2 linked regions of the Canis lupus familiaris genome follow. The main gene of each other region encodes a partner of the protein of the gene in region 2 in a complex. Links are inferred from orthologs where the notes say so. Each region holds a gene or a part of one and is shown on either strand. Other genes may lie near its edges.

Evidence for each region. Proteins that work in one complex are often made in the same cells at the same time.
Region 1: the proteins of GNA13 (region 2) and ADGRD1 are in contact, whole or in part, in a cryo-EM structure (PDB 9V0U), measured with the Homo sapiens proteins. The link is inferred for Canis lupus familiaris from reciprocal best matches to the Homo sapiens genes GNA13 and ADGRD1. Residues at the interface, in NP_006563.2 of Homo sapiens: Val49, Val216, Phe218, Phe359, Val362, Lys363, Asp364, Ile366, Leu367, His368, Asn370, Leu371, Gln373, Leu374, Met375; in NP_942122.2 of Homo sapiens: Asn599, Arg601, Leu657, Met660, Val661, Ile662, Val664, Phe665, Ser667, Val737, Ile738, Ile741, Ala761, Val764, Asn810.

Annotation. Positions count from the first base shown.
Region 1 is NC_049247.1:1,522,982-1,526,634, forward strand, and holds part of ADGRD1 (adhesion G-protein coupled receptor D1), read right to left. Parts: intron 3,276-3,653; coding exon 3,216-3,275; intron 562-3,215; coding exon 444-561; intron 1-443. UniProt on the Homo sapiens protein: Adhesion G-protein coupled receptor (aGPCR) for androgen hormone 5alpha-dihydrotestosterone (5alpha-DHT), also named 17beta-hydroxy-5alpha-androstan-3-one, the most potent hormone among androgens. Also activated by methenolone drug.
Region 2 is NC_049230.1:11,987,768-11,991,420, forward strand, and holds part of GNA13 (guanine nucleotide-binding protein subunit alpha-13), read right to left. Parts: intron 3,481-3,653; coding exon 3,254-3,480; intron 1-3,253. UniProt on the Homo sapiens protein: Guanine nucleotide-binding proteins (G proteins) are involved as modulators or transducers in various transmembrane signaling systems.

The sequences.
Region 1 (3,653 bases), on a different chromosome or scaffold from region 2:
GAAGAACTGTCACATGAGCTCATTCTGGCTCCCAAGTCACAATCAAATGCTTCTGTGACTTTGCGTCCACATCACAGCTGACCACCTGTGCCCCAATCTCACTGCCCCTCCAAAGTGTAATTTTGCATAAGGGCAACATAGTTTAGGAAAGCAGAGAGGTCTGAGCTGATGGTGTGTTTACTGCTACGTGTGTGTGTGCACCTGTGTGCGTGCACACCTGCACGTGTTTGCACCTTTGTGCAAGTGTGTGGGCACCTGTGTGTGAGTGTGTGTACACTGTGTGTGCGCACGTGCAAGTGTATGCGTGCATCCATGCAGATGTGTACATGCAGGCGTGTGTAGGTGAGCACGGGGCCGTCAGAGCAAACCTCACAGGCCAGCTGCCTTCCTGAGTCCCCAGCCCCTGCACCAAAGGCCCCATCCCACACCCAGCTGACAACTACCTGCCATGGAAGAGGAGCCTATGATGGTGACCTGGGGCTCGTTGGTGACCAGGCTGGAAGAGATGTGGCCCATGACAGTGTCAACAGTCTCTATCAAGCCCACCACCATAGCATTGTCCTGGAAACAACACAACACAAGGAAACTGAGAAAACAGAACCTGCACAGTGACCATTCTGAAGCCTACCCTCCAAACACATGCAGCCTGGCCCTGACACCACCAGCACCCTCCAAAGGAAGAATGCCCTGTGTCTGTGGTGGCCTAGGCAGGCCGCCTGTCCCCTCAATGAGCAGATGAGCAGGAGCAGGGGAGAGCCCACAGCACTACCCTTCTCACAGGCAAAGAAGTGGCCAGTGAGGTCACCCACCCAGCTGACCTGGTAGAGAGCAGACATCCCAGTCACCTGGCCGTCAGCCACAAGGCTTCTATGCTTAGACACAGGTCACAGAGACCTGGTGCTAGCTACCCTCTGGACTCACCTCAGCAAAGCTCTGACCAGCCCCCACCTTGCCCCCTTCCGTTTCAGGAGGAGAGGGCTGATTGCCCCCCAAATGCCCTCCAGAACAAGGACACCAGAAGCTTCATCCTATTCTCCATGCAGGGGAGGGATGCTTTGGAGGTGCCAGCGCCCCAAATCCTCTCTGGCCTCTTCAAACCCCCTGGTGCATCCCTTCCCTCCAAAGGCCATCTTCACTCATTCTGATTCCCCAACACAGAGAGGATCCCAGGGGTCCCTCCTGGTCATTCCATATCTCAGCAGCAGCTCAGATCCAGCTGATGGGCCCTCGTCAGGCACACCACTACAGGGACAGGACCTTTCAGTGCCCTGGGTGTGCGGTGGCTGTGCCTCTCTGCCATCATGCCCTTTGCCTCCTTCCTGCCTTTCTGAAAAGCATCTGTCTGCTAAGGATCCTTAGCGCTCTCTCACAGATGCACACTCCATGAGAATCTAATGAGCTGGGAATAGAACATTGAGGCCAATTTTAGACATTTTCATTGAGGCCTGTGGCCTGATTTCAATCAGCAGAGCATGGCTAAACACATAGAAATCTGTGTCTCTCTGTAGTTCTGTGGGCAGTAGCTGATTAATACCTTCTCTTGAATGCACATTAGAGCCTTCCTAAGTCTGAATAGTTTCATGATTATTCATATTTTGTGGCAGAACATTAAGAAAAAATTACTTTATAATGATGCTGATAAAATAGGTCTGCTCAGGTCCTCCACTGGCCATTTTTTGGGGGTTCCCCATGCCGCAGTTCTGTACACAGAGTCCCTCTAGAAGCCTCCAGTCCCTCTGGATGGTTGTGCATTTTAAAAAAAAGAAATTGTTTCTAGGTAATACTAGATCAACTGTAAATTCAAATCCCTTGTTTTCCTCCCTTTGCTAGTGTTAACTCCATCTCATTCCATTTGAAACTGTTTAAATAAAAAGTTCATTAAATGTAAACCATACAGCAATCTCATTAATAACATTTCTGCCTCAAACTGGCAAATATTTTTTAAACCTTATAGGATATCAGGAGAATGAGCACTTTAATATTACAATGGTGTGGTTGCAACTCTGCTAAGCAAGGCAGTTGAGAGTCCTCCCCACTGCTGGACTTTGGAAGTCATGTTAAGACCACAGCATCAGAAAATGGACAGAGCCAGGACCCCAAAGTCACTGGACTGAGAGGCTCCTCGGACCCACTCCAGACTTTGCATGAGTGAGAAGTAAGTTTCAACTGTGCTATGCCACTGAGATGCAGGGGTCTATTTGTTACTGCAGCATAGCCTAGCCTAGCCTGACTGATCTCCCTACTGTCAGTGGAAACTGTCCTGCAGAGTCAAAGACAACCAGGTTAAATCAGACACACAGCGTATTTGTAGACTATGTGGGCAGGTAAGTGAAATAAAAGCAGAACGGGAAGGGGTGTGCTCAGGGTCGTGGTCCACCTTAGGACTTCAGGTATCTATTCTTTTATACATTTTTTACTATCTACAGTTTCTACCTTCACAACATATTAACTTGTTTTATTCATTAAATAGTAGGATCAATTAAGTTATTTTTAAAAAGAAAAAATTCTATTCTCCTTTCTAATTCTTTGGAGTTCAGGGGGAAAAGAAGCTTTTTTGGTTTTTACATTTATAACCATGAAATACACATTGTCACGTGTTCTACTTTTTTCACTTAATCTAGTGATCTTTAAACATAAAACATGTTTTTTTTTTATTACTACTCAAGAACAATGTGATGGTAAAACATATCTTATTAAAATGATAAACAGAGGGATCCCTGGGTGGCGCAGCGGTTTGGTGCCTGCCTTTGGCCCAGGGCGTGATCCTGGAGACCTGGGATCGAATCCCACGTCGGGCTCCTAGTGCATGGAGCCTGCTTCTCCCTCTGCCTGTTTCTCTGCCTCTGCCTCTCTCTCTCTCTCTCTCTCTCTGTGACTATCATAAATAAATTTTAAAAAATTAAAAAAAAATTTTTTTAAAAATGATAAACAGAGGTCAACCAAGTATACACTCAGGAAGAAATGCAACCATTTCCTTGCTTGGTGTTGAGGAGAATAATGTATCACTGACACATTCTTGAGCCATACAGAAGACATGGTACTTCACATCAGTTGTATCTGGTCAAAATGTGCTCTAATATTTCAGATTACAAAACTAAAAGATGCATCATTTCTCTTCAAGATGTGAATTGGGCCATATTTACACCAGTTCTAGGAAGTCACAGTGGTTCCCAAAGTGCATACGTTTTGAAGATCAAAATGTTCTTTTTTCTTACCTCTGATACATCAATCCAACTGGGCAGTTGAAGAACCTCTTCCATGGCTTTTAAGAAAGCCTAAAGGCAGACAAAATGACACTTCTTAGCATGTATCCTTAATCCTCAAAATCTCAAGACCTTTGATTACTCCATGTCTATTAAGCAATGGCTGGTTTGGATTTTACATGTAGTAATAAACAAAAATAGCTGATATCAGCATATTGGGTTATATTTTACAAGGTCCTTCAGGCCTACTATCTTACTTGTTCCCTGTGACAATCCATTCATCAGTGATAAGCATTCAGCTTAGTCATGGAGACTAAGGCACACACAGTGCCTAGGAGATAGAAGCAGCCCTCAGTAAATGACGGTTGAATGAATAAATGAATGAATGAACGGATGAACAAATCATGGCCCACTGAATATGCTTTCCTTGGGTAGAGAAGCCAAGCTGAC
Region 2 (3,653 bases):
TACTAACTCTTCCCTTTTCCCCTGATGGTTTACTTTTTCTATCCAAGATTCAAGAATATACACTGGCAAACATAAAAAGAAAATTATGACTCTGTAAGACAATGACTTCTCATCTCCTAGAAAATTGACAAGCTAGCATCCAGAAATGATTCCTATTTCCCTGAAGACACTTCATGTGGGATGTCTCTTTTTTTCCAGAAGAACTTAGAATTCAGAATGTCTAAAAAAACGAGGAAATAAAATAAGTGTCAGGCTTATGCTAGCAAGAGAGAAAAAGATGAACTAGGCATACCAACGGAGCTTCTACTTAAGTAGGAGAACCAAATACAAGTGCAAACAAGTGGAGTGCAGGCGACCAAAGGAGAGCACAGGGCAGGGAGAAACGCTCCAGCCAGGAGGGCTGGAGAAATCTCTGATCCTAAAGCACTATCCCTCAGGGTGGCCAAGAAGCAAATTCATCCAAATCATCCTTGACTGTCTGCCACAAATACACATCACTGGGTCCCATCCCAGATTCCTGAATCAGATCCTCTTGCGATGGGAGTCTAGAACTCTGTTTTTGTTTCATTTCATTTTTTATTAAACAAGCATTCCAGTGAATCTAATACAAGGGGTCCATGGACCATGTTTGGTCACACTGAAATACTACCATTTTTCTAAGTTAAGGGTAAGACCTACTGCATAGATACAGTAATGAAAAACCATAACAGAAAGACCTTATAAAGACAGCCACCACAGAAGCAGACAATCAAGGTATGTGGAAACTGATGAATACACTGACTCTAAGAGGCTGAACTCTGTTCTGGAAGTAATGGAGAATGAGTATAGCTTTTTGAACAAACTCATGCTGTGTTTGAATAAGATTATCTGGGAGTCCAAGTAAGAGGTACTAAGACATTAATGGAAAGGGGGAAAGGAGGCAACAGATGCAAGAGATTTTTCAAGGGTAGAAAAGACAGGACTTGGGATTTGATGTGTGTAGAGAAGAAAAGGAATTGAAGAGGACCATGAGAAAAATTTTAAATGAGCCAGGTGCCTTCTCTGTGTCTAACACTGTGTCAAGCACCACACAGCATCCACAAGCACAAGAATCATTAATTCAATGTAGTAACTCAACCCTTCCAATATTTGACAGGTGCCATTAACACCACCAAGGATATACACAGGAAAAAAATTCCTGTCCTCCAGGGGTTTAAAATTACATCTCTCCCTGTTCTTCTTTTATTTTGCCCTTACTTTTTATGAGGCAAAAAGTATTTCTGGAACCTGTCTCTCCTTGTGCTCAAGACCTTTGCTGCTAAAGCATTACTGGGTCAAGTCAAAAACATGTAGGTCCTCATCCTGAGTGGTTTTAGCTGTTTGTTCTTAATGGCAAATACTTAGGAATGCTTTCTTGACTACGATGACATGACAGTCTTTTGTTTTGTTTTTTTTTTAAAGATTTTATTTATTTTAAGAGAGAGCATGTGTGCATGAACAGGGAGGTGAGGGAGGCAGAGGGAGAAGGAGGCTCCCTGCTAGCCCCATGTGGGGGCTGGATCTCAAGCTGAAGGTAGATGCTTAACCAATTGAACCATGCAGGCGCCCCAACATGACAGTCTTGATACAAAACTATTAAGATGTAAATATCCAAATTCAAGTGTAAGTGTGGCCCAACTTTAGATAAATGGACTTAAAAAACTTTCCTACAGAAACTTTTAGAATACTGCTGTTTATTCATCCAATCAATATGAACTGTATGCTTTTACAGATGGATGGTTCTCCCCTGACCTGGAAGAATGAATAACATCCTGAGAAACCTTAGAGTGCAAAGTGTGATCAATGAATTAAAAAGGAGAATAAACAGCACTTAAAAACAGGAGGCAGGGTGACAACAGGTGAGAAGCAGCAGTATGTGTAGGAACTATCAGTTATAAGAAATACTGACCAAAGGACAAAAATCAACCACAAGCCTGAGAAGTGGACAGAGGTCACTTGTCAAGTTAAATTCATAATTGTCAATATACGATGAATGCTGCCAGTGACTTGATTTTAATAATAACATGAGTCTTTGATTAATGGACAAATTATTTGACAAGATACACACATCAAAGAGAAGAACTATACAAGACAGTAGGTGATCAAGTGCTACATTTATATGGTGTCTGCGAGAGCCATAATTCAGAGTAAGTTAAGATTTAAAATCAGTTTTATAAAATGCTGTCATGAACATGTTTCTAGAACTTTTTAGTAGCCAAGGCTGCTCTGAGTACAAACTGTAATAGCAAAGACTGCTGGCTGTGTATCATTTTGTAGCCACACCCATAAATGTGTATCACTTTAATGCCAGTGACATCACTAAACAACTTTCTAAGCAGTTTTACTTTTAACTGTCACTTTTTCAGGATCATAATACAGTAAAACACTTCAAATCTGAACTACCTCCAAATTGCATACAGTCTAGATTGTTATCATTCCTGGGATCTTTCTGGTCTTCGGCAAATAAAACCCAGAACATAATCAAAGCATTCACAATTAAACTGCAAAACACTTGATTAAAAAAAATCAATTTCAATAATTATTTGTATCTTTACTATCAATAATTATTGTATCAATAATTATTTGTATCTTTAAACTAGATCAGATCTTTTCTTTTCCACCCTACCTACAGTGCTTTGTAACAGCTATAAAGCTTTACCGTAGTCTAAGATTATGGTTTTAACGAAGAAACATTTTGTAATATGTGCTGAGAAACCTTAGAGAAATACACACAGTATGCAAATATATAAAGTACAATGACTTAAATGTTATCAAGGGCTTCAAACTCTTTATAAATTAATCTGTATCATAAAATGAGTACCTCAAAAGACCATATAAAAGACACACTTGAACAACTAGGTGTAGTTACCGGGCTCTCAGCCTGAGAGTAGAAGATGAATTTTTTAAAAGGATGAATATCACTGCTGCAATTGGGAGGAGATTATTTTCAAAACTAGAATAAAATTAGGAGAAAATGTCTAAGAAAATCACTATCCTCTTACTTACAAAAAGGAAAAATGACCAGTTAAACATAACTGCTTCACCAAATCTATGGGGTTTACCTTATTTTTATCTTGCCTCAGTAAGAAACTCCTCTAATCCAATCCAAATTTCTGAGACTAAAATTCTGGAGACATTTTAATGTGGAAGTCAGTGAAAAAAGTATGTTAGAATCAGCTTCCAGTACATGTCATTAAAATAAAATGACAACAATGTAAAAGAACAGATCTCTTACCAGTTGAAATTCTCGACGCCGGTCATAGGCATTCTGTATGCCACTGTCTGCCCACAGTGCTCTTATGATAGGGAGATACTGCAAAAAAACTTGAGTTTCCACCATTCCCTGGGCCGCCATGGGGGACCGGGTGTCAAACGCCATCATCTTGTCTCCGTTGCCTTGGTTTGAGTTATCTCCCCACGGAATATGAAGTTTCTCTCGAGCATCTACCAGCACCCTCATACCTTTGTTTAAAAAGAAAGAAAAAGGTGTGCTAGGAGTCATTAGATATCCTCAGTGATTCTATTCCAGTATTCTTTTCTGAAGCTTAACCATGCCAAGCCTACCTCCTCCACAAATGGAGGCCAACGTCGAAACAAACACCCGTAACTTCCCAGAGCTTAAAAAAACTAACACT